Tamandua tetradactyla: one gene and its partner. The protein of the gene in region 2 purifies or fractionates together with the protein of the main gene of each other region. This does not show direct contact. Links are inferred from orthologs where the notes say so. Each region holds a gene or a part of one and is shown on either strand. Other genes may lie near its edges.

Region 1 (15,684 bases), on a different chromosome or scaffold from region 2:
CTCTGGCCTCCCCTCTTCCCACAAGGCTGTGCTGTTCCTGGCCAGCACAGGACACACCGTTTTCCTGCCCATTTTCCCACTAGCTGTTCACTCTTGCAAGGACCATTTATCACCAAACCAAGAGGGAACGTGAGCAGTTCAGAATAAACTGCTTTTTTTTTTTTTTAATTTTTCAGAATAAACTGCTTTTTAAAAAGTCGGCCTTTTTGGAGCAAAGCAGAAAATAACTACAATTTAAAAAAGAAGAAACATTTAGAATGTTCTCTATCTTTCAATTAAAAAAAAAAAAGAGAGAGGGCAGGCCACGGTGGCTCAGCAGGTAAGAGTGCTTGCCTGCCATGCCCGAGGACCCGGGTTCGATTCCGGTGCCTGCCCATGTTAAAAGAGAGAGAGAGAAAAATTAGTATTTCTTTGACCTTATCACTGCCTGTCAAATATGGAAGAGGCACTAACATAGCCCATAGACTCTTTCTACCCCACTCCTTCACAAAATCCCACCTCCACGGGCCCTGGAGCCCTGGAGCCCTGGACTTCTTTGTTTTGTTTCACGCAGAAATCCGGGAAGACTCCAGGACTCCGACTCCTGATGAGCTCTCTCCAGGAGTGTATCTCATAACCTCCCCCAGCCTCTCAGATCAACTTTCAAAAGCTTCTCTCTAAACATAGCCTGCAGTTGACCTCACCTCCTTCCAGTTACGGCTGCTTTCCAAGTGCCCCTGACCTTGTCTCTCCCACTTTCCCTGATGACCTGACCTCTGCAGCAGGATCCCCAATACCCCCTACTCCTTCAGGCATTCTCTCAACCTCTCGCTGACCCAAATGTTCTCCAAGAGGACCCGCACAAACAAGTTATGAGAGAGTGAGAAATCTGGCCTCCACTATCCACCACCCATGTACGCAGGTACCCAAATTCCACACCACAAGTGCTGTGGCTTCAGACCTTGAGCCCAGAGCTCCACTGGCAGCAACTTCCTCAACCAGACGACAGTGCTTTGGTGCAACTCCTTTTTAGTCATACAGACTCCTCTCATTTCCAAACTTACCGAGATCACCATCTTTCCCTCCTAGCCCCTCAGTAGGCTGTTTCATACATTTCAGACATTCTTTTGTCATTCTGCATTCCATTCCGGGATCCCCCCAACCTCCAACATAGTCCTGCTTCATTTGCATACACTGAAGTCCACTCTCTGTGCTGTAAGGTCTAGGGGTTTTGACAAACGCATAATGCAATGCATCTATCACTGCACTATCAAACAGAATACCTGCACCATCCTAAAAAACCCCTCGAGCTCCACCTACTCAACTCTCCCTCTCCCTACAAACTCCTGGCAACCCTACAGTTTTGCCTTTTCCAGAATGTCATATACATGGAATCATACAGTGTACAGTCTGTCACTTAGCAACAGGCATTTAAGAGTCATCCATGCCTTTGCAGGGCTTGACGAGTCATTCCTTTTTACTGCTGAATACTATTCATTGTGGGACTATCACATAGTTTGCTTATCCAATTCATCAGCTGAGGGACATCTTGGTGGCTTCCAATGTTTAGTGGTTATGAATAAAGCTGTTATAAAAATAAAATTGCTAAACAAAAAAATACGTGCAGGTTTTTGCGTGGACCTAAATTTTCAAACTAATTGGGGAAATACCTAGGAGTGCAAATGATTTCGGGATTATATGATGACGCTATATTTAGCTTTGTAAGAATGTACTGAACTGTCTTCCAAAGTGGCCGAACCATTTTGCATTCCCACCAGCAATAAATGCCAGTTCCTACTGCTCCACATCCTTGCCAGCAATTGCTATGGTCGGTGTTTTGAATTTTAGCCATTCTAATAGGTATGTAGCGGTATCTCATTATTGTTTTAATCCGCATTTCCTTAATAACAAATGAGCCTGAGCATCTTTTCATGTGCTTATTTTCCATCTGTATAACTTCTTTGGTGAGACGTCTGCTGAGATTTTAATAGGACTGCTTTCTTACTGTTGAATTTTAAAATCTCTTTGTATATTCTGGAGGTAACTCTTTCATCAGATAAGTGTTTTGCAGATCTTTTCCCTCATGTGTCTTATCTTGCATCCCCTTAAAACAGTCTTTCGTAGACACTTAATTTTAATAATTCCAACTTAGCAATTTTTATTGAAGGTCATGCTTTTGGTGTTGTACATAAAAGCATATCACCAAACCCAAAGTCATGTAGATTTTCTCTTAAAAGTTTTAAAGTTCTGTTTTTACAATTAGGTCTAAAACCCATTTTTAGTTGCTTTTTGTATAAGGTGTAAGGTCTGTGTTTAGGTTCTCATTACTAGCTTTCAACTTTTGTCTTAATTTAATTAACATTTTTATTTACTCATTCTTAACATACAGACATATTAGTACATCCCCAGACTGGGGGATAACACTGAAATAAACATGGGATCCTGGGCCAGAAAAGGGGTATTAGTGGGACCACAGGCAAAATGTGAATAGGGTTTATCAATTAGTTCACAGCATCACGTCGATGTCAGCTTCCAGTTTCGACAATAATTATGATTATATAAGATATTCACACTTCAGGAAGCTGGGCAAAGAGTTTCCAGTACTATTTTTTGCAACTTTTCCTAAGTCTGACATTATTTCCAAACAAAAGCTAAAAATTATTAAATTTTTAACTTAAAAGAAAGAATATTTTCTGATTTGAAAGTAAAAACAAAAAAGTCACCTAATAAATATTAATTATCCACTCTGAGTTTTCTCCTCAAAAGCCCAGGTGGGAAACATGCAGCAGACAGCAGGCTGTGGACTCACTCGCCTTCTCTATCTAGCTCCCATCTTCCAGCTCTGACTGAGCCAGGGTCACCTCCCCCCTCATAGCAGCAATGCAAGGACGATGACAAACAGCAACCGACATTCAACTTGAGAGCTTCAGGGACAACAAAGACCTGTGCCCAAAGGGTCCGACACCAAGGCACTCTGGCCAGCTGCTCCTCTGGGGAACATGACAGCACTGTAAGAAGGTCTTCCAGTTGGAAAAGAAGCAGAAATTTCAGATTTGTAGGAATTTACCTCACAGCAATAATTCCGTTTTTTTTAAATAAGAAGACCAGACCCATCATGCTTTGAGACAAATTTTGCCCTTGGCCACCATTTTTCCACTTAGTCTAGCAAACACCTAACCTTACACTGCCCTGTTGCGCACCAGCCAGGGACACTCACGATTCAAGGTCCTTCATTTATGATCCACCCAAGAAGCAGCCCTAAGAAAAGCCAGTCCTAAGGGAAGATAGTAGGCCCAGGGAGGCCAGCAGGCCTGGCGTTCTCAAGCCCTCAAGGCCACAGCCCACTCACCTTAGCTCAGGTCACACCTGTGCAGGTACAGCAAGCAGCATCCCCATCCTCCCCACCCCACGCCACAGTTCACAAGACCTCACAAGGCCTCCAGCAGCAGATGGCAGCACCTCCTCCAACAGCACACGGTTTCTGCAGCACCTGTCACCCCCACCCTTCTCGTTTCATGTTCAAAAGAAGGTAAAGGACAAAGGACAACAAATAAGGTGGATCTGACAGCAGGGTGAACAAGCGTCATGTGTTAAGCTTCAAAAAAATACATGCCAGTATGGCCGATGTTCACAACCTCACATGAAGAACTCCCACTTGGAAAACATCTGCTCCCAAAGAAGACACTGAAACTTGTCTTCAAACAGGCCAATCCAAGAGCTCTCAAAATCTCTATCAATGATAAAACCTTTATTAGAAGTAAAACCATAAGAATTTACTCACCTTTTGTGAAATAAAATAAAACCTCTTTCTCCATTTTGAAAAGCAAAAAGACTACTAGTGAACTGTGCCAGTTCATCCCAGAAGATAAACAATGTTAAGACCCAAGGCTGAGTCACTTACCTGAGCCGCAAATGCCCCTTCCGCCCTGCCAGGCGTGTTACTGCACGATGCACTTTTCCAAACGTCTCCTCCTCCAGGGAGCCCACGGTCCTCAGCAGCTAGCGGATTCTCCTCCTGGACAGGCGCATCGACAACCGTGCCCTTCCTCTTCGCCGTCTTTTTCTTCGAATGCGTACAGTCACCTTTTGTTTTTCTCTGTCGGAAGTGAGCAAGCTGCGCAAAAACGTGGAGAAATAGTAAAGGCAAAGGTAAATGAGAAAAAAGTAACAGAACCACAAAGTCAACAGACTCGTGGGAAACATGAGGCTCCAGAGCTGGCCCCGTGCACTCAGCCACACCTGGCCAGACTCACGCCAACCAACAGACCACTTTCCCACAAGCACTGCTTTCACTACTCTCTATAATGCTAGGACTTAACTTCAGAGGGCTCTCCAAAGAGTCTAACGATGAGGACGTTAGTTGTGCCTCTACAGACAAAGGAAAGCAATACTGCTGATTGGCAGAATAGCTTTTCTAGCCTTTGCCAGTTTACAGAAAGATAAATTTTTTTAAATATATCCAATTAGACTGATAACGTAATCAAGGCACACTTTAAGTTTAAAATTACATAAAAGATAAATCTCTCCTTTTTGCCTCCATTTCCCCCTAGCCAAAACTTCCTAGCCATAGATTCTGAGACAAGGTACAGAAATAGCAAAAAATTAATTAAGCCAGGTCACTCTAACATCTTCCTTTGTGGAATCAGATGTTCTATTTTTCATGACACAGCTCACCAAAGCACCAGGGACCTCCACAGAATGTCGCCCAAGATACAACTTAGTACTATTCGGTTTCTCAAATCCGAGGGTTTTAGACTATGTTCACACATTAATTCCCACTACACCTTATTTAAAAGGTATGAAATCGAACATCAGCTTTTCACAGGAAGACTTCTCCCCCAAATGATAACCATGGCCATAAAGACATCTGATAAAAAAGATGCTCTAAATGATTTACTAAAAGTGCACAATTTCAATGACACAGGAAAATTACATAAGGCCATTTACATGAGAATACTATACTCTTAAGGACAGAGACTACCTTTAAAACCAACCCCATTTTCATTCATTTTATTTTCCTCCACCATCAAATATAACCATGTGGGACAAAGTGGGGCATGTCTGTCATCATCTTGTTTCTTCCTGAAATGATGCTAATCTTCCACCATCATCACTGCTTCTCAAAGCACATTTACTTCATTAATCAACTGCAAGCACAGGGAATGACATAAGTAAACATGAAGCTCTGTGTTCATTTTCATTTCCTAGCCCTTGTATGTGCCAGACACATCCAAGAGGAGAGAAAAAAAGGATGCCATAGAATCCCTTTTCACACCCCAGCCAAAACTCTCACTGTCAGGGGAAGCTGAACAGATGGCAGCACCCTACCCTCTGCCTGTCCCCATCATACACACCGCATTATCCCTGCTGTGGCCTCACACACTTGTTGGTAAGCCTTCTGAATACCTTCTTTATTGTGGTTTCCTCAAAGACCTACTTAGCCCAGAGGATCTATTATTAGATAATCCCTAAGAAATCACCAATATTTGGCTGTCTGACCTCAAACACAATTCCTCTGGTTCTGGGACTCAGCTCGCCCAGTGCTGAGCATTCTTCCCACCGCAGGGCGGGTCCTGGCCTGGGCCCCGTAGCCTCAGGCGGTGGGAGGGGCAGGGATGAACATGCAAACGTCTCAAGTCAGGGTCACCGAGACAGCACGACTCAATCCCCACAATATGCCACAACAAGACTACACAACTATGAGATGCTACTGCGGGCCCCTGATTGTACATCATGTATGGATTGTATGTGTGTGAAGGTTTGTCAATCAAATTTTTTAAAAAACAGGCAGAAAGGAGACGACAGAAGTATCCTCTGGACAAGCCTGACTCTAGCACTACACTGGGTTCAGTGGAGCCTCAACAATCCTGGAACTTAAAAACAACTCAGGGCCGTCCAGGAGAACCCCAGCACAGCCCGGCCTCTCTCCTCCACCCTCACCTGCCCAGCCGCTCCTCCTGCGCCCCAAGGAGAGCCCGGGAGAGGCCCGCAGCTAGATCACGAGGGATCTAGGATCGCTTCTATTAGTTCAGAACTGGGAGGGGCACGAGCCCGCGACGGCGGCCTCCGGGGAAGGGGCGGGAAGCCCAGCGCCTCGGCAAGCACGTGCACGCGCGGCACGCTGACCGCCAGACCGGCCTCGGCAGGCACGTGCACGAGCACGCGCGGCGCGCTGGCCGCGGCCACCTCCCTTCTGCGCTCCCGCCCACACGCGGCGCTGCTGCGCAGGCGCCAACTTTTCCTTGGACGCGCTCGCAAGCGGGCTTCGCAGCGAATCTCGAAAAGAGGCTCAAGTGCCTCGTTTCCGGGGCGGGAGGAAGGTGACTTCGCGGAGTTGACCCCCACCGCGGAGCCGACCCCTAGCCCGGAGCCGCGCTCCCTGGCTTTCCCCGCTCCCCGGTCCCCGGTCCCGAGGTCCTCTACGCAGGCGCAGCACACTGAGCCCCAGCGTTCCCCGCGCCAGCCTCCCCGCGAGCCGCCGTGCGTCCCCGGGCCCTGATTGGCTACGGGAGTAGCGGGGGCGGTCCCGGGCAGAGGGCGGCGTATTCCAGATGGCGGCGGCCAGGAGGCGTCTTCCAGCCGAGCCGGCGGAAAGAGCAAGACTTCGGCGGCGGCCTCGCGTGACCGGCACCCGCTCCTGGCAGGGGCAGAGGCAGGCACTGGAGCCCGCTCTAAGGACTTCGGGCGAGAGGAGGAGGAGGAGGGCCCTGCCATTTACCTTTGCTCTCCCGGCCTCCACCTTCCTCCGCCGCTGCTCTTGGTCATCTTCTTCCATCTCCCCGTGGGGCTTGTCGCGAGCCGCCCGGGAAACAGCGGGGCCGAGGCGGCGCTGGTTTCGCTCTGTTTACACTCCCTCCCCCTCGTCCGGGCTCGCCCTCCCCCCGCGACAACTGTCACGCAGCCGTCAGCCCGCCCCGACGCCCGGCCTCGCCCCTGGCGCACGCGCCTTTTCTGCCAATCAAGAACCGCGTTCTTGCGCACGCGCGCTTGGCCTCCCCGGCGCGCTCCCCGGACAGGACCAATGAGCGAAGGACAGAGGCTTCGGGCTTGGCTCGGGTTGGTCGGTTTCAAATGGCCTTGGCCACTCCTGGCGGAATCCGGAGCGAGCGGTGCAGCTGGGGCGGTACGGCCTGGACGAGGCGAGCGGGCCCCCGGGTGCGTAGGCCCTAGGGACTTGCCGCCCTCTAGTCCTGGACCTGCTCGGGCCTGCATTTCCCGCCCCCCCCCCAGGCCTCCCCTAGGTTCTTCTCCTGTTCGCGCCCCTCTGCCCTCGCTCTGCCTCAGTTTCCTTCTTGGCCCCTGGATACTGACTGCGGACAGAGGGCCGAGGCTGTGGTCATCTCAGCTCACACTGCATCCCCGTGCCGGCAGGCGGTGGCGCAGGGCAGAGTTTGAGAAATAGTCGTACGATGAACCTAACTGAACTCAGGTAGCTGAAGGGTTAGGGTAGAGCGCCCAGGCAGAATCAGGGCGAGAGAAAATTCCGGAGATCACGGCCTGTGCAAAGGAGGGGAGAAAGGGGTGGACAGAGGGAGACTTCAAAGTGAGGCAGGCGGGACAAGGCCTTCACCAACCCCTTAAAGGCAACGTGCCTGGTCCTAGGTGCCCCAACTTCGGCCAAAATTGCCAGGCCTTTAACCCCTGCCTGATAATAAGCGATTAGAGGTGGGCTGCCCCGGAAAGTTGAGCAGTCAACCAATAGTTGACAGCTGGAGACACCTGCTGACCGCATTGCCCACTTCTGGGCAGCAGGCCTTGGGCTGAAGGGCTTTTTTTTTTTTTTTTTTTTTTATTAATATGCTGCAACTTTATTTTTCATACTTAACATGATTTCTGCAGTAACAGCTTTCCTTTCCTTATCCTCCAAGTTTTAAAAATTAGCTTACACTTGTTTTATATGCTTTAGCTTTTTCTTTTTAATTAGAAATGAAACTTTAAATGTAAAGCCAAACGTTCTGTTCAATCACCACCCCTAGTCTCTTCTCTCCTCTCCGTAGAGGGAATCACTGCAAAGACTTTGGCACATACAGTTTCAAATTATTTTTTGTTATTTATTACATACACATATGAATCCATAATCAATGTACAGCATTAGCCTTTGTTTTACTCAAACTTAGAAAAAATGTAGCATAGTATATGCATCATTTTGTGTCTTGAGTTTTTTCACTCAGATGCTTGCAATGTTTTCTTGCTAATATATACATTATTTAACTGTTCTATAATTTTCTGTTGTGCAAATACGACACCCTTTATCTACTCAATTCCTTACTAGTGGCTACTCCATTCCTTTCCTACAAATGTATGGCCATGTTTCTTGACAACATATTCTATTCCACGTAACTATTACATCAACATGAAACAATTTTAATAATTATAGCATTATGTAGGGTATCATATTACACGGTACAAACATGGTAACTTTGTCTCTTCCTTTCTAATTTGTATACCACTTCTTTCACTTTACTGCACTAGTTAGAATCTCCACTCATGACCATGTTTAGCAGCAGAGGTATAGCAGGAGTCGTACTTGCTTCTTAATGAGAAGGCTTTTAAAAGTCCAACAATAGCATATACTATGAGTTTGTGTAGGACAAGTCAGAATTTTATTAATCCTTTCTCCTTATGAAAATTCTTAGATATTAAGTACTGGTCTTCTTTTTAAGGCTTTCCGACATTCATGGTATTTTGTTTTAGAATGACTTTTCTAATGGGCTATGAATCTGAAGGCCTTCTTTATTCTAGGAATTCACAGCACTTTTAATGAGTATGAATTCTCTGATGTCTAATATGGTGTGACTTCTGGCTAAAAGCTTTTCCACACACACTACACTGATAAGGCTTCTCACCCGTATGGATTCTTGCATGTGAAGCAAGAGTTGAGAACTGAGAAAAGGCTTTTCCACAATCATCACAACCATAAGGCTTCTCACCTGTATGACTTCTAATATGTACAGTAAGAGATGAACTTTGAGAGAATGCTTTCCCACATATATTACACTCATAAGGTTTATCACCTGTATGAATTCTCACATGTACAATTAGTGATGTGATTTGAGAAAAGGCTTTCCCACATTTATTACATTCGTAGGGTTTCTCTCCAGTATGAATGTTGTTTAATGAGATACTGCCTCTGGCTGAAGGCTGTTCCACATTCATTGCATTTATAAGGTTTCTCTTCAGTATGAATTTTCTCATGCTCGGTGAGATTAGATTTGTCACTGAAGGCTTTCCCACATTTCTTACATATAAAGGGTTTCTCTCCAGTATGTCTTCTCTGGTGTGTAGTGAGGCTTGATTTCTGAATGAAAGCTTTCCCACATCCATCACATTCATAAGGTTTCTCTCCAGTATGGATTCTATGATGGGTAATCAAGTTTTCCTTCTGGTTAAAGGCTTTTCCACATTCACTGCATATATAAGGTTTTTCTCCAGTATGTATGCTCCAATGTTTAATAAGACATTGTTTTTGGCTGAAGACTTTCCCACATTCTTTACATTCATATTCTTTCTCTCCATTGTGAGTTTTCTCATGTTCTGTGAGATGTGATTTATGACTGAAAGTTTTTTCACATTCCTTACATGCATAAGGTTTCTTTCTAGTATGAAATCTCTTGTGTCTGAGATTTGGCATTTGAATTAAAGCTTTCCCACAAGTATATGATTTCTCTAATGAATACAGAGGTTTTCCATCTGGTTTAAAGCTTTCCCACATTACATTTATATGCTGTTGCCCTGTACGGCTTTTCAAATGTGAAGTAAAAGATGACTACAAAGAGATGTACTACATCCAGGACACTCATATATCATTTCTCTCTAGTATGAATTTTCTCATGCTCCATGAGATTTTGCTTCAGATAAACATATTCCCAGGATCATTACAATACTAATTAATGTATGAATATTCTCATGCTTAATGTGATTTCATGCTGGCTGTAGTATTTCCAATATTGCTTATACAAAGGGTTTTTTTTTTAATAAAGTTTATTGAACACACATGTGAGAAGACATGTAGCACTCTAGCAAGGAAAGATGGAAGGTAAGAAGCCTACACACAGGGTTTTATTCCTTCATGATTTCTCTGATGTGTAACTTTCCCACATTCATTAAATCCAAATGGTTTCTCTCAAGTATTAATTCTTAGGCATCTCCTGAGGTTGAATTTCCAAAAGAAGACTTTGATACTCATTACACTTAAGGGGGATGACTACCATGTGGGACAAACTATGGCAAAACTCACTGTCTTCATTCTTTCTTCCATCGTACTTAGTTAAGCATGAAACAAATTCTTTCAAGTGAAGTCACATTCAGAGAGGTGTTATTTTGAGGAAACAATGTCTGTAGTGTATTTTCCCAACTTTCTCTCCCTCCATCTTAAGGCCTGTGCTGTCATGAAAGTAGACGTAACTTCACTCATAAGCCTTTTGTTATGCTGTTCTTTTTGCTTCTTACTGTCTTAGGTGTCAAATAAAAACTGAGGGACTTTGTCACAAGGAGATCTATCTGTCTTGAAAGAAATGTTAAAAGAAGTTCTTCAGAGAGTGAAAAATTATCCAGGCCAGAAACTCAGATCTACATGAAGAATGGAAGAGTGTTAGAAAAGATGAAATGTCTAAAATCAATAATCTTCCATCTTCCAACTTAGGAAACTTGACAATATCTCCTTTACATTTGTTCCATCATTCATGCTCTCCTTGCTTCAACTGAGGATCACATCCCGTTTAGTGATTTCACAACCAGTAAGTGGGGAAATGGTATCACACCTGAATGTTATGCTGGGGACAAAGCAACACCCCATAAATCAAACCTGAAACCTTCAGGCTTCTGAAGAAGAAAATGTAGATTCCAAAGATGCACAAGTTAACTGGCTGATATTTTTGTTGCTGTTGATTGTTTTAATGATCCAAAGCCTATTCCATTGCTCCCAACATTGGTGTGAATTATCCTCCCAAGGAAACTTGGCCTCCTTTTCCTAAACCTGCCCGGCACTTAGGGTTAGTGAACCCGATGCAGGAAAGAAAACCATTTCAAAGGCCTCGGGCTAGTCTACTTTGGGAGTCACGGCCCGAGACTGAGCTGGGACTTCATGAGGCTTCCCGAGCACTGCTGGATGAGGGAGAATAATCTTTTTGGTGTGACCGCTACTAATCGCTGATACGACCCAAACCTCCGGGAGCCATTTTGTCCGCTTCTGCTGGCTCTCCTACGTTTCACCTTGAAGGGCCTTTTGAATAGCACATCTCTTTGTCCACTTCTCAGGTTCCCTTTTCTTGGGGGAAATTTTTTTTGAGGGAGGACTTCAAAAAGGAAGGTTACTGAGGTGAACAACAGTCTCCGCCACTGCAGCTCGTCCTGGAGCTGCAGTAAATTTGGTTTCACACCCCACGTACATTCTAGATTCCCCTTACCCTCGGCTAGAAACCTCTGGTGGCTTATCTGGTGGCTTAGCAGGTAGTGGGACCCAAGCCATCATCCCAGAGGCGTCTGATCCCTGGTCGCCCACCATGCCCTTCTTAGGCTAGGGGTGCTGTATGTGTTCATTTCCCATTCACCACTAGGCGAGGTACTCTCAGGAGACAGCTAGCATTATTTAGAGTTCAGTTGTGTTCTTTCCCTGCCCCTGTTCATCTTCTCTCTCCTGCTGATCCCTGGAGATGATCCCAAATGCCCGGGGCAGACAGAGTTACTAGTTCAGTGGGAATCTTGAAACCCAGACGTCCAGCCCTACAGAGCCCAGGGTTGCACGGACAGGAAGCACAAAGTCCCCCAGTGGGCCACGTGGGGGGGGGGGGTCGCTCTTGGACGCATGTGTTCTTCCTGTTGGGGACAGGGTGTCATATAGGAGTCTCTGTTTTAAAGCATTTACTCCAGTCCTGTGGCTGTGCTGTAAAGCAGTGCCTCAACTGATGTGTCATGAGGGATCCCATGCTAGTAGATCCACCACTCTAAGCTCCCAGAGAAGAGGGCAGGCTGAGACTCTGCAGGCAGGAAAGGCAAGCTCATACTTGGAATATGTGTCTGTTCCGGTTAAAGTGAACGCCGGGACCCCCAAGATGAAAGACTGACATCACAGGTTTGGTTGGTCTCCAAGGATGCAGCCAGGTAGGCAACTAAACACCCTTCTCGTTTGGAGGCAGCAGTAGCTATATCAGGTTTGGTGGGCTCCCAACCTCCATCTCTGCCACATGGACACAAGGCCCCACTGCAGTGGCTGATGGGCAAGGCAGGTGGCATCAACTGGTCTTCGTTGTTCCTTGTGTTTGTTGGTGGATGGTCTGTTGGGCATTCAGATGATGCGGGATTACCACTTCAGAATATCTGTGTATGTCTCCAACCCAGACCTCCTTGTATCCACTTCTCACATATTCCAGAATACTGACCATCCAACCAGGCCACTCACCACTCCAAAACAATCTGCAGAAGCCAACAGCTGGAGACATCAGCTGACCACACTCCCGCCTCTGGGCAGCAAGTCCTTCCTTGAAAGAGGGGACACATCCTGGTGTCTGTACCATGGGATGGGCATGAGAGAAACCTGTTCCGGTGTCTGGGAGCATAGGGAAGGGAAAAGTGGGTTTAAAGGGTATACGTTGTTTTCAGCATGACATTGGGCAATGAGTGTGTGAATCACTAACTGGTTGCTAAAACAGGAAACAGGTTGCCCTGCATTGCCACCTGAAGGGTAGACAGGGTCACTCTTTTCGATGCATATAACAATATGGGAGGTAAATGAAACTTCGCTTTTAATGATCATGCTTCCTAGATGCTCATTCTCAAGAGTGTTCATCGAGAACTGGCCCCTCAAATTTTCTAGAACTTGGTCACCCTGGCACAGAAAGGCTAGTCCTTTGGGCTCAATTCTGCAGATGTGCTGTGCTTGGAGGGACAGCTGTGGCCAGCAAAATAATGGCCCCCAACTACGTCCTTATCCCCAGGTCTGTGAAGACAGTACCTCAAACGGCAAAAGAGACTGCAAATGGGATTAGGTGAAGGATTTTAAGATCCTGGATCATACAGGTGGCTGGGTGAGATCACAAGGGGTCCTGTGGCAGGGGGGCAGGAGTACGTGCAGCCTTGAAGGTGGAGGAAGGGGCCACAAGCCAAGGAGCCTCCAGGAACTGGAAAAGGCAATGCGACGTTTCTCCTCTAGAGCCCCCAAAGGGGCACAACTCTGCCGACACCTTGAGTTTAACCTACTGAGACTCATTTCTGACTTCTGCTGCCCAGAACAGAAGACAGTAAATTTGTGTTGTTTTGAACCACTTAATCTGTGGTAATTTGTTATGGTAGCTACAGAAAACTCATACTAGAGATTCCCCTTTTGCCTTCCTCCTCCACGAGTAGGCTAGGGGTTGGCATGGTGGATACGGGAGGCATGACACCCGCCGCTGCACCCCCAGACTGCCAGAGCTTCCTGCAGCCTTCCCCCCCCCCCCCCCAACAGCCAGCCTCTTCCTCCTTGGCCAGCAGGGCCTCGAGGGCAGGGAAGGGGGCCGGACAAGAGAGGTCGGTGGTTGAACAGAAGGAAAACAAGACAAGCAGGGAGGGGTTCCGCTGGTGGAACAAGGCAGAGCCCCCTGCACCCCACCTCCTCTCCTGCACATGCCGCCGTCCCCCGCGGCCCGCAGGGGCTGCGCCCATCTCGTGGCTCCTGTTCGTCACCCTCCCCCCACGGCTGCCCCACACGTCATGTGCACGTTCCTCGCCTTGACAATTTTATCCCGCCTTGACTATTTTATCCCCGCCACCGTGGGGCAGAGCCCCTTGCGGTCCTTACTTTCAAATGAGGAAACTGAGGCACAGAGCCTAGCTACCTCGCCTGGAGGCCGCGGCGGTGGGGGCCGGGTCCCTCCGCATCAGCTGTGGTGGGGGGTCCGGAGAGGACGGGCGAGCAGGACCCTGCACCGCCCGCTGGGGGCGAGCCGGCCGCGGGGTCCCGGGCAGCAGGGCCCAGCCGGACCTCCCCAAGCCCGGCGCTCGGCCACGGACCGCGCAACTGCTGCCCCCGCCAACCCGCTTTCCAGTCCCGCCCCGCGGCGGCTCTGAGGACTCCGGGCCCGCCCTGGCTGTCCCGCCCCGGCTTCCCGTGGCTGCAGCGCTCCATCCCAGGGGGTCCCCGCGGGGGGGCAGGGCGGGACGCGCTCGTCTCCCCGGCGCTGCCCGAAGTCCGCTGGGGCCGACGGCCAAGGGGCCCTGCTGCGCGGAGGGAAAGGCTGCCTGCCTCGGCCCAGCACGTGCGGGGGCAAAGGAACAGGGGACCTGTCCCGCCGCCCCCACGCCCCGTCCCCCCACGCACCGCCGCCCCTCCTCCTACCCTCTCCCCCTCCCACCCCTCGCCACCTCCCCCTACCCATCCCGCCGCGCTCTGCCCTGGGCCTCCTCGCGCCTTGTCCGCCTCCACCGCTCTCCTGGCCCCCAGCAATCCTATCCTCCCCTTTCCCTCACCCCCGCACACGCACGTGCACACACACGCGGAAAGCGGAAGCACGCAGTCAGCCAGTGCCCCAGAAGGGTGCGGAGCACTGGAGAGAGGATGGCTGCTCAGGAGGGAAGAGAGGGGACGGGGGCAGCCGGCTGCGCGTACCTCGTGTCTACACCGCGTCTCCCCGTGTCTGCCCTACGTCTACACCGCGTCTCCCCGCTTCTGTGCCTGCGTCGGGACCGGCCTCCCCGCAGTCAAGGGTGCCCGGCTTGCCTTGCCACTGGCTTTCGCTCCCCTTCAGGACGTGCATCTCTGGGGCGGGTGGGGTTCCCCACATATGCAGACTTGGGCCTGCCAGAGACCCAACTGCGGGGCCTGCGCTGCACCCGCGTGGGCACCCACGCAATCTACGCACCCCGAGGCGCCGCCCCCGTCCGCCTGTAGCGGAGCCTCCTAGGGCCCCGCGGCGCCCGACCCCCTTCCCCGCAGCCTCAAGCCTCCAGCCCCTCTTTCCCCGGCCCCTGCCTCGATCGCTGGTTCTCCAAAGTCTTCACGAGCTCTTGACAGCAGTCCCTCCGGGTGAACGGTGTTCTGTTTTGTTTTGTTTTTTCTAACTTTTGTTGTGAAATATATACAAAAAAAGCAATAAATTTAAAAGCACATCGTAATGATTGTAAGATTTCAGAGTTTGCTGTGGGTGAAAGTTCCACAGCTTCAGGGTTTCCTTCCAGCTGCCCTGTTCTCGGCCTGGGAGAGGCCTCTTCTCCTAATCCTCCCTCTCCTGGCCCTCTCTGTCTCTGAGGCCTTGGGCCCTGCCAGGGCCAGTTCATGTTGCAAAGGCCGAGGCCCACTCGTTTCTAAGTCCAGCCTGGGGGACTGCCCAGTGACAAGGGACACTTTCACCTGCTCCGCCCCACCTTCGAGAAGGGATGGGGCTGCCTTTCTCCTGCCCCCCCTCTGCACACAAAGCCCTCTCCCTCCCCTCCTCCACCCCTCCGCGCCTACCCCAACATGTCCTGGCTTGTCTCTGGCTGCAGCTGCTGCCCACATGTGCTCTCCCAGTGAGTGGCCTGCCACACCCGGATCAGGTTTACAGATGACCCTGCCTGGTGACAAGGCCTGGCTGCTGGGCAACTGCCGAGGGGAGGGGAGGGGCCAGGGCAGGCAGCAGGGACCTTGCTTCTGGCCCAGGGCTCTGGGCAGCTTCTGGCCATGGCAGCTGCAGACCAGGTGACCCGCCTGGCGCTGAGGCTCCTGGAGCAGGTGAGGCCACGCCCAGGGACCCC
Region 2 (16,286 bases):
CAAAAATTAACTCAAAAAGGATCAAAGAACTGAATATATGAACCAAAACTATCAAACTCCTAGAAGAAAATATAAAGAAGCAATTTCAGAACCTTGTGTTAGGCAAAACTTTCTTAAACTTTACACCAAAAGCAACAAAAGAAAAAATACTATAAATGGGACCTCATTAAAACTTAAAACATTTTTCTATTCCCAGTTCATGCACCACTACCATCACCTCCCATCAAAAAAAAAAAAAACGCTGGGAACAAAATTCCCTATGACATACATATCATATATCTGCCTCTGTGTATGTAGTATGTATATATACAGAAATACATATAGGTAGGAAAACACATTAAAAAACTTTTGCTCCTCAAATGACTTAATCGTGAAAGTACAATAACAACCTACACAATGGGAGAAAATATTTGGAAACTACATACCTGATAAAGTATTAATATCCAGAGTCTACACAGAAATCTTACAACTCAATAACAAAAAATGACAAAATGGGCAAAAGATCTGCACAGACATTTATCGAAAGACATATATACAAACTCGCCAATGCATACAAGAAAAGATGCTCAACATTACTATTTGTTAGGGAAATGTAAATCAAAACCACATTGCGATATCATGTCACACCCATCAGAATGGCTATTATTAAAAATAGAAAATTACAAGTGTTGGAGCGGATGTAAACAGGGATATACATTCACTGCTGGTAGAAATGTAAAATGCTGCAGCCTCTGTGGAAAGTAATTTGGCAGTTCGTCAGAAAATCAAAATTACCATATGACCCAGCAACTCACTTCTAGGTACAAACCCAAAAGAATTGAAAGCAAGGACTCAAACAGATGCTTACACACTGAAATTCACAGTGACATTATTCACAACTGCCAAAAGATGGAAGCAATGCAAGTATCCATTAATAGATGAACAGATAAACAAAATGTGATATATACATAATGGAATATTATTCAGCTCATAGAAAGGAATGAAATACTGATACATGTAACAACCTGGATGAACCCTGAAGACATCATGTTGCGTGAAATAAGCTCATCACATAAGAACAAATATTATATGATAATGGCTGATACAGAATAATTAGAATAAACAAATCCATAGAGTCAGAAACTAGAATACAGGTTACCAGGGGCAAGTATGGGGTTAGGGAATGAGGCATTAATGCTTAATTGATAGTTTCTATTTGGAATGATGGAAAAGTTTTGATACGGGATAGTGATGAGTGTAGCACAACACTGTGAATGTTACGAACACCAATGAATTACTCATTTGAATGTGGTTAAAAGGAGAATGACATAGGTCATATGTACATTAGAATAAAAAATTAAAAAAAAAAACATATGACTGTACCAACAGTGAACCCTAATGTAATCTATGGACTACAGTTAATAACATAATTATAATATTGGTTCTTCAACTGTAACAAAGGAACCACACTAATGCAAATCATAAAAAATAGGAAAAACTACATGTGTGAGAAGTATTTGTGAATTCTATACTTTCTGTATGGTTTTTCTGTAACTCTACAACTTCTCTAATAAAAAAATTATTTTTAATTTTTATAAAAGCATGCAGCCAACCAGATTTGACCCAGAGGCCATAGTTTGCCAATCCCTGCTTCAGAGTGATTAAAAACCCTGTCAATACTAAATCTTTCCACAGCTTTTTAAATTCAAAATATATTTATTACACATCTGCTCTGTGCCAAGCAATGTGCTAGATGCTGGGGAAACAATGATGAAGGCGACACTGATTCTGCACCAGGAGACAACCTAAGAACTGGGCAAGACAGAAATGGGAACACACCATTATTGCACTGCAACAAGTACTTGGCACATTTCAGGTCTTGAGTAAATGTGTGTTGAGTGAATAAATTCATTCTTTCAACAGATATGCACTGAGTGCCTACTCTCTGCGACCACCATTCCAGATGTGGCTACATTAGGAAACAAAACAGACAAAAGAAGCTGATGCTCTAGAGGGAGTAGAGAGACAATAAGCAAAATAAGAGTTCAAATATATTAGAAAATGATAAATACCACAGAGAAAAATATTGTAGATAAGGAGCTACCAGCACTTGGGTGAGGATAACAATTTTAAATAAAGTGGTTTTCAAAGACCGTCTCCATGAGAAGATGACATCTGGACAAAGACTTGAAGATAAAGAGCTATATATCCAGGTAAAGGGAGAAGGCTGAGGTGGAAGCATGCCTAGTGGATTTGAGAAACAGCTAGGAGGCAATGGCCTGAGAAAAGTTAAACAAAGGAAAGAGTAAAAAGGAGGTCAGAGAGGTAACAGGAGACAGACTATGCGTGCCCTTGTAAGCTCTTCTATGGTCTGTGAGGAACTACTGGAGGATTCTGAACTAAGGAGTGACATGATCTGACTTAAGTTTCTAAAGGCTCCCTCGGCTGTCATGGGAAAACAAACTGTACAGAGCTGAGGACAGACGCAGTTAGGAGACTACTGGAATAATCCATCCAGGTCAGAGATAATGGTGCTTGGACCATAGAGGAAGCAGTGTAGATGAGAAGTGGTAGCAAATAGGAAGAAAGAAATGAAATGAGAGATGAGAAATGAAAAAAGAGAAGAGAAATGAGGTGAGAGGAGAGGTGAGAGAAGAGATGAGGTGAGAAATGAGGTGAGGAGAAGTGAGGTGAGAGATGAGAGAAGAGTTGAGATGACAGGAGATAAGAGGAAAAATCAGAGGAGAGAGGAAAGATGAGAAGAGAAATCAGAGGAGACTGAGATGAGATGACGAGATGAGATAAAATGAAACAAAACGAAATGAAATATATAAGGTTCAGACAGGAAAACAAATCTAAGTCAACCTGGGGAGAGCCAAAGAAGGCAGTAAGTTTGAATTGAGTCTTAAAGCAACAAGCGTGCACTGGGGAGAAGAGGGGCACAAAAGAAAGTAGAAACAACTCATGCAAAAGCACAGAAGTGGCAGTACACATGGCATTCAGAAACTTTCGTATGTAGTGCATGCATGGAAAAGGCTTAGGAGTTGGGAAAAGACAAACTGAAGAGCTCTCTGACCCAGGTAAAGGGTACTCATGTTTGTTTTCCTGTTTCTCAAACATGCCGTGTTCTGTCACCTTTCTCCCTATCTAGGTCCTACTCATTCTTTAAGTCACAGCTTCAATATCAGTTCCAAAGAAAATTCTTGCCTGACCCACTTCCTTCATACCAGGGTAAATCTCCTTCTGATCCCCTCTCAGGGCCTTATACTTCTTTGCTCACTATGTTGATCATATCACTCATCAGAATAATTTGTTTGTCTTTTCTGCTAGACCATAACCATGGTCAAGGCTAATCTCCAGTACTAAGCTCAGAGACTGGCATAAAGCAGGCGTACACTATTGGTTGAATCAAGGAGTACTTCTCTACCTTAATTTTCTGCTTCTAACTGCCTGTAGGCAGGAAGAGTAGAAAACAGGCTCGTTGGATTTTGTGTTTAAAGTAATAAACTTTGTGACATTTATTCACTCTGTTCAAAAACTTCTTCCTTTTGCACATAGCTCATCATTTTGTAGAAGAGAAAAAGAAAACACATGACAAAATAAGTGTAAGATATTTAAACAAGGCAAAGCATTAGCTCTTTCCATAGAACCATTTATGATAACATTCATTTTTTTCAGAACAAAAATTATGAAGAATACTTATCAAAACCCAAACTGCAAAGCAGAAAATCTCCTCATAATCTAGCTTAAGCACAATATTGTTTATTTACTCAGCACTGTCTCCTGGGATCTAGCCAGCTATTTGTCTCCAAAGGGCAAGCCCAGGTAGGAATGCTAGGCCTCAGCCAGCAAATAGAATCCAGCCACCGGCTGAAAGGCCCTGGCACTCCAGAAAAAGGCAAACCTTCTGGGCTTCCAGGCACTTGGCATTGGAAACGAACAGAACCTTCATGCCTGACCTAGCCACCAATTCAGTGTCCAGCCTACTTGCAGTTGTTCAGTTCAGGAAATACTGGCTGAATCCCTAGAAGCTCAGTAGCAAGAAATAAAACTTATGATTACTGCCTAGAGGACATGAATTCCTCCAGTGCAGAGTTCATGAAAGGAAGTGGAGAGCAAATAAATATGTACACAAAATACTGAGCACCTATTATGTGCCAGGCAAGACTGGACTCTTGTTTGTCCTCAAAGATAAGAGAGACCAGTCTCAGGCCTCAAGGAGCTCATGGTCTAGTGTCTACTTCCTTTCTTTCTACTCAATAGAATGCCAGCTTTGTGTACTTACCATCATTTCCCAAACCAGTACTGGAGCTGATACCATCCAGGTCATATGGTAAATTGGGAACAAGGCCACTAGGAAAGAACATGTGCAATAAGACATGAGCTAGCATTTGAACAAGAGAGATTAAGATTGACTGGACTGCACCTGACAATCATCAGGCCACCACCAATGAGGGAGACACAGCTAAACTACCCGGGAAGCATGCAGCACAGAGGTTAAGAACTTAGGCTTGGAGCTGTGTTCTAACTTTGGAACTAAGTTCTAGCTCTACCATTCAGTAGCTGGGTGGCCTTCAGCAAGGTCATTCATTTATTGAACATCAAATGTTCAGTGTGCCAAATATGTGTTAAGTGCAAAGGCACTGTGCCAGGTACAAGTTACTTATGTTTCTGACTCTCTGTTATTGTGTTACATGGGGATACCACCCTCTATCTGTAAAGATTAAATGAGTTAATGCATATAAGCACTTGGCGTATAGTAAGTACCCAATACATGCACCTCTTGTCATTTCTGTCATTATTATCATTATTAATATGCTTATCATTACCAACAGTTCTGGGAATCAGGTACCAATCCACATACTTTAAGAATGTTAAAGAAAAATGCAGAATTCACTGATCCAAGAAGCTGTACTGGTTGGATTATATAAATAAGTTCAGTGAGGACTTGGAGACATTGGCAGAAAATGGAACCATAATAGGAGGTATGACTTAACACAAAAGACACTACCTTGGATTCTAATCTAAGCTCTGCCACATACCTCTCCAAGCCTCACTTCCTTCATCTGTCAAAGGAGAACAGCAGCCACTTCAGAGAAATTGGGAATTAAATAAGATACACAGCGCCCAATAAAGTTCTTGCCATACTGCGGGAACACCATAAATGGGAGCAATATCACTGTCACCTTAAAACATATAGTGCTTTATAATTTATAAATGACATCACTGGAATTACCCAATTCCCTGAGGACCCACACATTTTTCAAAGGAAAGTGCAAAGGCTTAGCCAGAATCACATGGTAGTTAAGGATAGAACCAAGTTCACAATCCAGGCCCTTCACATCTAACCCCCAACAATTTGTCCACTGTCCCAGTTGTAAATTAGAAGTTTATGGAAGTTCAGCTTGACTTCTTGGCAGTCTGTTCTTTATATGCCTCTAAATCTGAATTCAATCTGTTTTGGGGAAAATTGTGCCTGACCACCAAATTCTAGCATTGGAATAGACTTTCAAGACCAGACCAAGCAAATAACTGGAAATACCATAAAAGTTCAATATCAGGACAACGAGTAGATAAAACGTGCCTGCTATAAAGCAGAACATGCCTTCAAATCCTGTTTGGTATCAGGTAAACTATAAATACACAGCAAGACAAAGGAAATGTACTGAAATATTAAAAATAATCATCTGTGCGAAAATCACAGATGTTTTTCTTCTTTTTAATTTTCTGTAAGTCTCAATTTTCTGCAGTAAGCATCACTAGAGGGATAAAGTCCATTTTCCAAAACAAATTTTAAAAATTAAGATCAAAGGCAGGCCATGGTGGCTCAGCAGGTAGAGTTCTCGCCTGCCATGCTAAAGACCCAGGTTCGATTTCCGCTGCCTGCCCGTGAAAAAAAAAAAAAAGATCAAGTTCCACTACCACCTTTTACAGATGGTGGACCAAAGGCCCAAGGTTATTGGCCAAGCATAGGCTGGAGTCTGGTCTCTATATGCCCAAGCCAAGATCAATCACAGCTGAAAACTACCTAACAGGCAAAGTCAAACAATTTGATCTTAGGCAAGCTACCCAAAGGCAAACATTAAAGTCTGAAAAATAACATCTGATATCCCAATTCTTAGAAGAAACCCACCATGTAATGAACAAGTTCCTGTTTGGTTCCTGCCAAATTTCCACTTAAAGTTAGGCTACCAACTTTAAAAATGTTATGAATCTCTGACCTCTGCATCCTCCAGCTGGTTCCAATTAACACCTCCAGCCAGGAGCAGTTCCTCTGTCCCTTGTGAGGTTCTCTAAGCCTGATAACTAAGGTTGGGGCCTGAAGGATTTTTACTAGAAACCAAAATAATGAAAACAAAGGAAGAAAACTTAGATACGATTTTATCATTGTACGCATTGGGAGCGGAGGTCCAGGGAGGAGAAAGAACCTCAAGGGTTAGTGGCAAAAATGAGGCCAAAATCCCAGTCTCTCAGCACCCTTTCCACTCGCTGACCCTGTGCCTAGACCACCCAAAGCTCCTAAATGGATATGGCATGCAGTAGGGTAAGTTTCCTCGTGGGCAAAATAAAGTATAATGATCACAAAAACCTAACCAGAACGGAGCACTCCAGTACAGGCAACCACGCTCAGGATGAGACAACCTCCCATTTAATCCTTACCACAGCCCTTCTGAAGTAAGTGGTATTTTTTAAATGCTGCCACTTTTTTTTTTTAAACAAGCAAACAGGTCCCTCAATTTAATAAGCTAAAAATCCCAAACCAGCTTGATTTCAAACACCATGCTCACTACTCTGGCAACCCTAACATTTTCAACTGGGTTGTGGTGAAGACAGCATGAAGTAGGCAGAGGACTTAAAGCACTTAGCACAATGCACAGCTACAAAGGCAGCTATTTGTTGTATATTCGTTGAGGGAAAAAATGAACCCTTGCCTGAGCTGCACCATCCCCTTCTCCGATCTCACTCTAATGGCACCCAAAAGGAGTTATCTCTTTCTGTGCTTAAGTGGCAACAACTGTTCATTCACACAAGACCCAAGGAGAGCTGTTTCATTTTTAAAGTGTCCTGACAGCTCTTGGACGGGACTGGACATTACATTCAGACTTACAATTACACTAAGTGTACTTCTGTTTGTAGTTCAACAATTCACTTTCCTTTCTGTTCCCTTCTCTTAATCAGAGCAATAATACATAATTATAAGTCAAAAAATACAGATAAACCTAAAGTTCACCTAAACTTAAAGTTCACCCTAACTACTCCTCACCCCTATCTTAAGACGCAAGTACTGTTGTCAGCATATTCATTCTTCCAAGCCTTCTTCTGTGTATTTACACACTTAGAGAAATAGTTTTATTCTGTGATTTAAAAAAAACATAAATGCCATCATACTGCACATATCATTTTACATCTTCTTCACACACGGTGTCCTAGAGATGTTTACATGTCAGTACAAATGAATTTACCTCAATATTTTTAACTCCCACAAAGCATTCTACAGCACTGTTTTTCAAACTTTACTGACCACAACCCTTAGAAGAAAATATATTACCCTTAATTCTTGAACTATTTCTATTGTTCTACTCGATTTTTTTTAACCTCTGGCTACAACCTACTAAACTGAATTTCATGACCACTAATGGAACACAAATAGTCAGAAAGACACTTTTTAAACAACGATTATTTTCCCACTCCTCTACTGATGGACAGTTTACAAGGCTGAATTTGAATCCAATTCTGTCTGACTCCAGCCAATACCTTAACCACTGCACTCCATCGCCTCAGTCTCCATAGTCCTATGAACAAAGTCTGGACATATGGACTACACTTCCCATAAAGAAAGCAAATCCCCAACCCTGAATGAACCATAAAATCTCTTCAAAGGCCCTACTTAAGACGCCATATCCCCCACGGAGCCTCCACTTATGGCACACTCCAAGAGGCCCCCTTGTCCCGCTCTTTCAGAAAACCACTTACCCGTCCTTCACACCCTCCTCAAAGTACGTCTGGAAATATCAGAAGCGGGTGTGTTGCAGATCGGGTCCCCCAGGAATCCCCACAGTTTCAGAAGGTGAGCTCCCTAAGAACAGCCCCACCCTCACCCCGCAGGCAACCCACCCGACACACTACCCTGTCAGGAGACGCTCACACGCACACACAAGAGCAAACCCAAAGATTCCTCAAGGCGAATCCTGGAGCCCGGGCCGCACCTGCAGCCGCTCAGCGTCCCGGGGAGGGTGACGTTCTCCTCCAACGCCGAGTTCATTATGGGCACAAATGCGGTGGTGGCGTTAGTGACTGTGGTAGCGGCGCCACTGGTTCCCGCCCCCACCCCCACACTCCCCACGCTGGAGCGACCCGCCGGGTTTCCCGGGTCCCCGCCCCCTCCAACCCAGCTCTCGTTCGAACTCTAGGGGCGCCGCTGGAATTCAAACCGCAGCAGCCGCCATCTTTCCCCGCGCTTCTTCCTACGGAAACGAGGCGGGGTCCCCGAAACGCGCGAGATGAAGCCGACCGGCCAAAGCTACAGACCGGGCAGGGAAGCTCAGGCTGGCGCCATCTTTACTAAGGGTAGGTCATCCGCACCCTAGGAGGACTAAAAAAAAAAAGAGGGTTCCGACGGCTCTTTTTTTTTTTTTTTTGGTGAGGGCACTTAGGCCGAAGTCAGGGCAGGCGCCATCTTTGTTGAGGGCGCATAACCGTCCCGGTCGTTAATTTAAGCGGGAAGTGGGATCCTGTCTCTCACGGACCCACAGAGTTTTTAAACTGTGTTTCCCTTTACAGAATGATGGCTCCACGTCCAAAGGCTTTCGCCTTAATTTTTTTTTTCTTTTTTGCATGCGCAGGATCCGGAATCCAATTCGAGTCTCCGGCATGGCAGGCGAGAACTCTGCCACTTAGCCACGGTTGCCAGTCCTTTCGCCTTAATTTTAAACTCATATAATCGGGTGCTGCCTTGCTTTGGAAGAATCCTAAATGTGGAATCCCAACTCAAGTCCTAATTTGCGTAATTGGTTTGAAGTAAATAAGTTTATCTCTATGAACCAAGAAGTGCTCAGCGACACTCCCACTCCAATCTCTCACCTAGTGATCCTTTATTATCTTTAGGGCTCAGCACCTAAAATCAGTAAACTGAGGCCCAGAGGGAGAGAATGGCTTTCCCAAAGACATACACAGTTAAGTCTGTCGACCTAGGCCGGATATGCGGCCGCTGCCAACTGGTTCATGGCTCTCTCCATAACATTGACTGTCTCTATTTAAGCACACATCTACCACTAAACGCCTAGATAATTTTGACGAAACCTGATCAGTGAAATCAACGTTCCTCTCCCTATCTCAGTGCTACCACCTTCCTCTGCAGGTTGTTGGGAAGAGTAGTGGATGAAAACAACTTGAAAAAATGGGTGAGTTGGTAGGTGATGACTTTCCCTATATCCATAAATAAGCCCCCTCTTGGCCTTAGTTTCATCATTCTTCGATTTAAATGCCATGTTCTAAAAGAGGCCTTCCCTGATCCTCCAGTATAAATAAGGTCCATTTCTTGTTCTTAGCACCTCTTGTTTTGCCTTGGTAGCATCTACCAGATTTTGCAATTATGTATTTATATGTGTGTGTGTGCATTTCAATCTTTCTGTTGCATTAGACTGAAAGCTCCATGAGGGTAGAGACTGTGTTTGAATTGTTCACTGCTATATTCACTACATATAGCATATATTGGGCCTGCTACCCAGTATGTGTTTTTAAAAATGGTAGGTGAATGAATGATTCAATCACTCAATCTGGAAAATGGGGCTAATATCTATCCTGCAAGGTTTTTGTGACCACCTGAGATACCTTTAAGAAGTCAGTCAGTGGTAATTGCATGTTTATTCTCTCTCTCTCTCTCTCTCTCTCTCTCTCTCTCTCTCTCTCTCTCTCTCTCTCTCTCTCTCTCTCTCTCTCTCTCTCTCTCTCTCTCTCTCTCTCTCTCTCTCTCTCTCCATTCCTCCTCTCTCCCTCCCTCAGCTTTAGTGAGGCCCATAAGCCAACGTCTGTCCCTTTTCCTTTCCCAGTTCTTCAAGCACCCCAGGATCGATCTAAAAGGGAGGGAGGGCAAGAGCCAGTTGACACACCCAGTGTCCTGCCCCAGATAGGGGGCAGTCCTTGAAGCTTAGAACCAAAACTCTTTGCAAGTGCTAAGGCCAGAAGATAAAAAAGTGCATCCAAAGCAAGGAAACTGGAATGTCAGAATAGCCACACTGGTTTTGTTACCAACTCTCTGTGATATTTGGCAGACCACCTCTTATCTCTGAGACTTAGTTTCTACATCTGTAAAATGAAAGGGTTGGACTGGATGGACCTTTCAGGCTCTCGCAGTTTTGGAGATGATTTCTCTGTTTTTATTTCAAAGCTACTAACACAAAACCAATTATTTTTTTGGTGAGAGAGGCTAAGAGAACAAATCATCACTTCCCTATGAAAGAACAATTCAGTTCAATTGTTGAAAGCTCTTAAGAAAGGAAGCAAGAAGATAGCTTACTTATTTTTGAGTATCTCTTATGTGTCACCAGGCATATAACCGTCATTTAACCCTCACAACAAGTCTCTGGAATAGGTACTACTAATATTTCCTTTTATTTACAGAATGATGAGAAAACTGAGGCTCAAAGAGGTAAAAATAATTTACTGAAGGTCCCATTGCTGGTTGGTATAAGTGAAAAACCTGAATTTAAGCCCAAGTCGCTGACCTCCAATGCCCTAAGTATAGATGCAACCTGTCTTCCCTATTTGTTTTTCTCCACTTTTGAATTTGGGTCTAAGAGGTGAAGTCTATATCCAGACAAGAGTATTTCAGTGCTGCATTCATGGGACTCTACCTTTAGTAGCTTCAAGGTAGCTAAGAAATCAATCTTAGTATCAGCAGTATGATTACAGGATTGTACATCCTGTACAGGTGTATTACAAGTCCGTACACCTGATTTCTCTATCTGGAAACTCCTCCAACATATCTGTGAGCTGAGGTCCCTTTCCCTGGCTGGAGCTTTTGTTTTCCTATGTGTAAAATGGGGAGGACAATGCCAAGCTCACATGGATACATTATCTAATTAGATACATTGATAACTATCAAGAAAAAGAGCTTGTGAGTTATTATGATTAATCCATTGCCCTATTCAACAAATGACCGTACTCCTGCACTATGTACTAAGCCCTTTAATGACCCTGAAAACTGAAAATAGAATAATTTGCACAAAGGATAGACTATTTAGAAAGTTGTTTTTCCTGCTATTTAGTGGTTTCATGGTCAGGGAGAGAGAGGTCTCACCATGACCTTTCAGTCAAGCTTAAAGATGATGTCACCACCAACTGTTTGTACTATCTGGAGCCATCTCCTTGACAACAGCCACCCAACCACAAAAGCTGGCATTTTTATTTCCCTGGGCAACGTCACATCAAATGGCTAAAGCCAGTAGCTTGGAGCCAGATGTTTCTCATTAGGATAGAGAACACAGCTCAACACACATGAAGTGCCATTTCTAAAAACAACGATAACTTTTTGCAGGATAAATACATGCATGTTGGCACTTTGCACTGTTTCATTTTATCCTCATGAAACCATGAAATCGATTGGAATGATTTCCATGTTCTAGAGATGAGGAAACTAAAGTTCAGAGAAGGGAAATGATTTGACCAAACCCACAATTATTTTGGTTTGGTTTTTTTTCCTACTTAGAAATAATTTCAGACTTAGAAAAAAGGAATTCCCCATATAATCTTCACTCAGCATCCCCAAATGTTAAAATCATAACTAACCAAAGCATAATTGTCAAAAAGAGTAAATTATGTTGATAGATTTTCTAATCTACAGACCTTATTTAAATTTCATCAATTTTTCCATTAATGCTCTTTTTCCAACCCAGGGCCTCCATTGTCAATACATTGTCACATCTCCTTAGTCTCTTCCATCTCTTTTTCCTTCATAATGTCAATCCCATTGAAAAACTTGCCAGTTATTTGGGTTTGTTTGATGTTTTCTCATGATTACATGCAGGTTTATATACTTTTTGTGAGAATTCCATGAAAGTGATGTCATGCCCTTCTTAGGGCATCATATCAGGAGGTACATGATGTTAATATCTCATTAATTAGTGATATTGTGTGTGATCTCTTGGCCAAGGAGTGTCTGCCACATTTCTCTATGTAAAATTACTATGTTCCCTTTGTAATAAGAATTTTGTGGGGGATACTTTGAGGCCCATGTAAACACTTGTTTTTCATCATAATTTCACCCACAAATTTTAGCATCCATTGATGATTCTTGCCTGAAACAATCAATACTGTGGTGTTTGTCAAATGGCGATTTTCTGTTTTCATCATTCCTTCAACATTATTTCTATATTTATTAATCAGAATTATACATAAGAAATTCATTCAATTATTTACTTAAATCAGCATGGACTCCTCGTGGATATTTATTTTAGTCAATGGATTGTACTCCATTACTATCGTTATTTATTTTGTTATGCAAATTGTCCCAGATTTGGCTAGGCCACACTTCTAATTAAAGGTTATGACAAGATTCATACCCAAGTCTCTCTGGTCCCAAGGTCAGCAGTAGTTCTGCCGTACCATGCTGCCAACGACTGACACTGGCCTAGTTTCTTGAACCCTCTGGGCCACTCAATCAGAAGATTCTGAGTATCCAAATCCTGCTGTGCAGGAACACTAACCTGCAGTCTTGGTATCAAGAACTCTTCCCAGCCAACTCTCACCATCAGCAGTCCTTATTACAGACTATTTTCCAAATAGTTCCCACTGTTTTCTCAGTGATCTTAGACCTCTTATTCAACTTTTGGGGTCTACTTTCTCATCTGTAAACTGAGATCATTGAGGTACAACATTAATATTTCCTTAAGCTCTGATATTCCATGAATAACTGATATTCACTACAATGTATTAGTCTCTTACTGTCATGTATTAGTCTCTTACTATGTGCTAGGTAGTGTGTTAAGTACTTTACAGTCAATCCTCACAGTCACCTTATGAATCAGAGACTGTTTATTTTTTACATAATTGATTTTACAGTTGACAAAACTGAGGCCAAAGAAAGGTTTGGCCTGGACTTGCTGACAAAACAAGCACAAAAGGAAACCTTCAATGCAAAACCAAATAAATGCAAACCTTCAATGCAAAATCAAAAAAATGCAAAACTTTAGATGAATGGAGGAAACCGATTGAAAAATAACCTTACTAAGATAATCAAATGCCCCAAACACAACATAAAATGAAAAAGCATATTGTGCTGATTAGAAAGGATTATGTACCCTAGAAAAGCCATGTTTTAATCCTGATCCATCTTATGGAAGCAGCTGTTTCTTTTCATCCTTATTCAGTACTATAGGTTGGAAACTTGATTAGATTATCTCCACAGAGAACTGACTCACCCAATTGTGGATATCAGCTTTTGATTAGTTGGCTTCCATGGAGTTGTGACTCCACCCATTCCAGGTATGTCTTGATTAGTTTACTGGAATCCATTAGAGGAGGAAGCATTTTGGAGAGAGTACCTTTTTTAGAGCCGTGAGAAAGGCACCAAGATCCATGAGAGCCATGAGAACTACCAGAGTCCACACAGCCAGAAATTTTTAGAGATGAAGAAGATATATGCCCCTGGGGAGCTTCATAAAACAAGAAGCCTGGAGAGAAAGCTAGCAGACATTGCCATGTTTGCATGTGCTTTTCCAGTTGAGAGAGAAACCCTGAATTTCACTGGCCTTTCTTGAGTGAAAGTAATCTCTTGTTGGTACCTTATGACATTTTAATAGGCTTGCTTTAATTGGGACATTTTCATGGCCTCAGATCTGTAAATTTGCAGCTTATTAAATTCCCCTTTTTAAAAGATTCCATTTCTAGTATATTGCATTCCGACAGCTAGCAAACTAGAACACACATGATGATCCAAACAGAAGTAGCCTAGCCCAATGACAAAAACTCCAGAGGGAACACAGAATATTGAAAAGAATATTTATAAATAAATAAAGGATATCAGGAAGACACTACAAGAGCATAAAGAAGAATTCAAAAGATTAAATAGAAAAATGGCAGATCTCACAGAGATGAAAGATACAGTAGACCAAATCAGAAATATACTAGAGACAAACGATAGCAGATTCAAAGAAGAAGGAAGAGTAAGTGTGCTAGAAGACAAAACAATTGAACTAGAGTGCACAAAAGAACAAATGGCAAGAAAGATGGAAAAAAATAGAGCTGGGTCTTAGGGAAATGGACAACAAGAGGCACACCAATACAACAATCATTTGTATCCCAGAAGAAGAGACAAGTAAAGCACTGGCTGGCAAAGTTAGTTGAAGATATAATCAGGGAAAACTTCCCAATTCTTATAAAAAACATAAATACACAAATAAAAGAGGCCCAATGAACTCCAAATAAAATATATTCAAATAGACTCATTCCAAGACACATACTAATCAAACTGTCAAATGTTGAAGAGAAACTAATTCCTGAAAGCAGCATGAGAAAAGCTATCTACTAAATACAAGGGAAAACACATAAGACTGAGTTCAAACTATTCAACAGAAACCATGGAAGCAAGAAGGCGGAATCTCTCTTGTGGGAGAGATTAAAATCTTCAAAGACAAACAAAGACAGAAAACTAGTCAACAAGAGACCTGGCCTATAAGAAATGCTAAAGGAAGTCCTGTCCGCTGGAAAAAAACAAAAACAAAACAGGAGAGGGAGATCTGGAGGAGGGCACAGAATTGAAGAAAACCAGCAATGTTAATTTAAAGGTTAAAAAGAGAGAGAGGGAAAAGAATATATACATATATATCTGACAAATAAAAACTAAAGGATAGGATGGTAGATGGTAGATTCAAGAACTGCTTTTACAGTAATAACTTTGAATGTTAATGAACTAAACTCACCAATTAAAAGATAAAGATTAGCAGAATGGATTAAAAATATAATCCATCTATATGCTCTTTACAAGAGAAGCATCTTAGACCCAGGGTGACAATTAGATTGAAAGTGAAAGGATGGAAAAAGATGTTCTACGCAAGCTGTAGCCAAAAGAAAGCACGAGTAGCTTTATGTGCTGGTTTGAGAATGTTATGTACCCCCAGAAAAGTCATGTTCTCTTAATCCTCATTCAGTATTGTTTAGGGTGGAACTTTTTGATTAGATTGTTTCCACAGAGATATAATCCACTCAATTGCAGATGTGACCTTTTGATTAGATGGAAGTGTGACTCTGCTCATTTAAGGTGCATTGTGATTAGTTTACTGGAGTCCTTTCAAAGGAGAAATATTTTGGAGAGAGTTTACAGCTGACAAAGCTAACAGGAGATCCAGACCTTTGGAGATGCTGGAAGAAAGCCCCCTGGTAAGCTGTTTGAAACCAGAAACCAAAGAACCAGCAGATGCCAGCCATGCACCTTCCCAGTTGACACAGGTATTCCGCACCCATCAGCCTTTCTTGAGTCAAGGTGTCTTTCTCCGGATGCCTAAGTTTGGACAATTTTTATGGCCTTAGATATGTAAACTTGCAACTTAATGAATTCCCTTTATAAGAGCCATTCCACCTCTCGTAAATTGCACTCTGGCAGCATTAGTAAGCCAAAACACTATACTGATATCAGATAAAATAGACTTTAAATGTAAAGATATCATAAGAAACAAAGAAGGACACTACATGTTTTAAAAAGGTCAATCCATCAAGAGGAAATAACAATCACAAATGTTTATACTCCCAATCAACAAGCTCCAAAGTACATGAGGCAAACAGTGGCAAAACTGAAGGGAGCTTTAGACATTTCAACAATAATAGTTGGAGACATCAATACACCACACTTCACTATAGATACAACTACCGGAGAGAGGATCAACAAGGAAATAGAAAACCTAAACAATGTGATAAATGAATTAGGCCTAATAGACATATATAGATCATTATACCCCAAAACACGAGTATATACATTATTCTCTAGTACACATGGAATATTTTCCAGGATAGATCATATACTGGGACACAAACTGAGTCTTTGTAAATTTAATAAGATTGAAATTATCCAAAGGACTTTCCCTGTCCACAACAGGCTGAAGTTGGAAATTAATTATCAACAAAGAAACAGAGCTTTCACAAATATTTGGAGATTAAACAGCACACTGTTAAATAATCAATGGGTCAAAGGAGAAACTAGAGAAATCAGTAAATATCTGAAGACAAATAATAATAAGAATACAACATATCAGAATTTATGGGATGTGGCAAAGGCACTGATGAGAGAGAAATGTATTGCCCTAAGTGCCTATGTT

The links.
Region 1: the proteins of CDK5RAP2 (region 2) and PCNT purify together in Homo sapiens (co-immunoprecipitation; 4 studies listed by BioGRID and IntAct, with this or other methods). This does not show direct contact. The link is inferred for Tamandua tetradactyla from reciprocal best matches to the Homo sapiens genes CDK5RAP2 and PCNT.

Annotation. Positions count from the first base shown.
Region 1 is NC_135336.1:108,608,767-108,624,450, reverse strand, and holds the start of PCNT (pericentrin), read right to left. Parts: upstream 6,881-15,684; 5' UTR 6,755-6,880; coding exon 6,698-6,754; intron 4,094-6,697; coding exon 3,881-4,093; intron 1-3,880. Other genes in the region: C10H21orf58 (uncharacterized protein C21orf58 homolog), read left to right, coding at 15,611-15,661. UniProt on the Homo sapiens protein: Integral component of the filamentous matrix of the centrosome involved in the initial establishment of organized microtubule arrays in both mitosis and meiosis. Plays a role, together with DISC1, in the microtubule network formation.
Region 2 is NC_135328.1:36,967,521-36,983,806, reverse strand, and holds the start of CDK5RAP2 (CDK5 regulatory subunit-associated protein 2), read right to left. Parts: upstream 8,508-16,286; 5' UTR 8,243-8,507; coding exon 8,187-8,242; coding exon of another isoform or gene 8,146-8,186; intron 8,048-8,145; exon of another isoform or gene 7,966-8,047; intron 4,333-7,965; coding exon 4,265-4,332; intron 1-4,264. UniProt on the Homo sapiens protein: Potential regulator of CDK5 activity via its interaction with CDK5R1. Negative regulator of centriole disengagement (licensing) which maintains centriole engagement and cohesion. Involved in regulation of mitotic spindle orientation.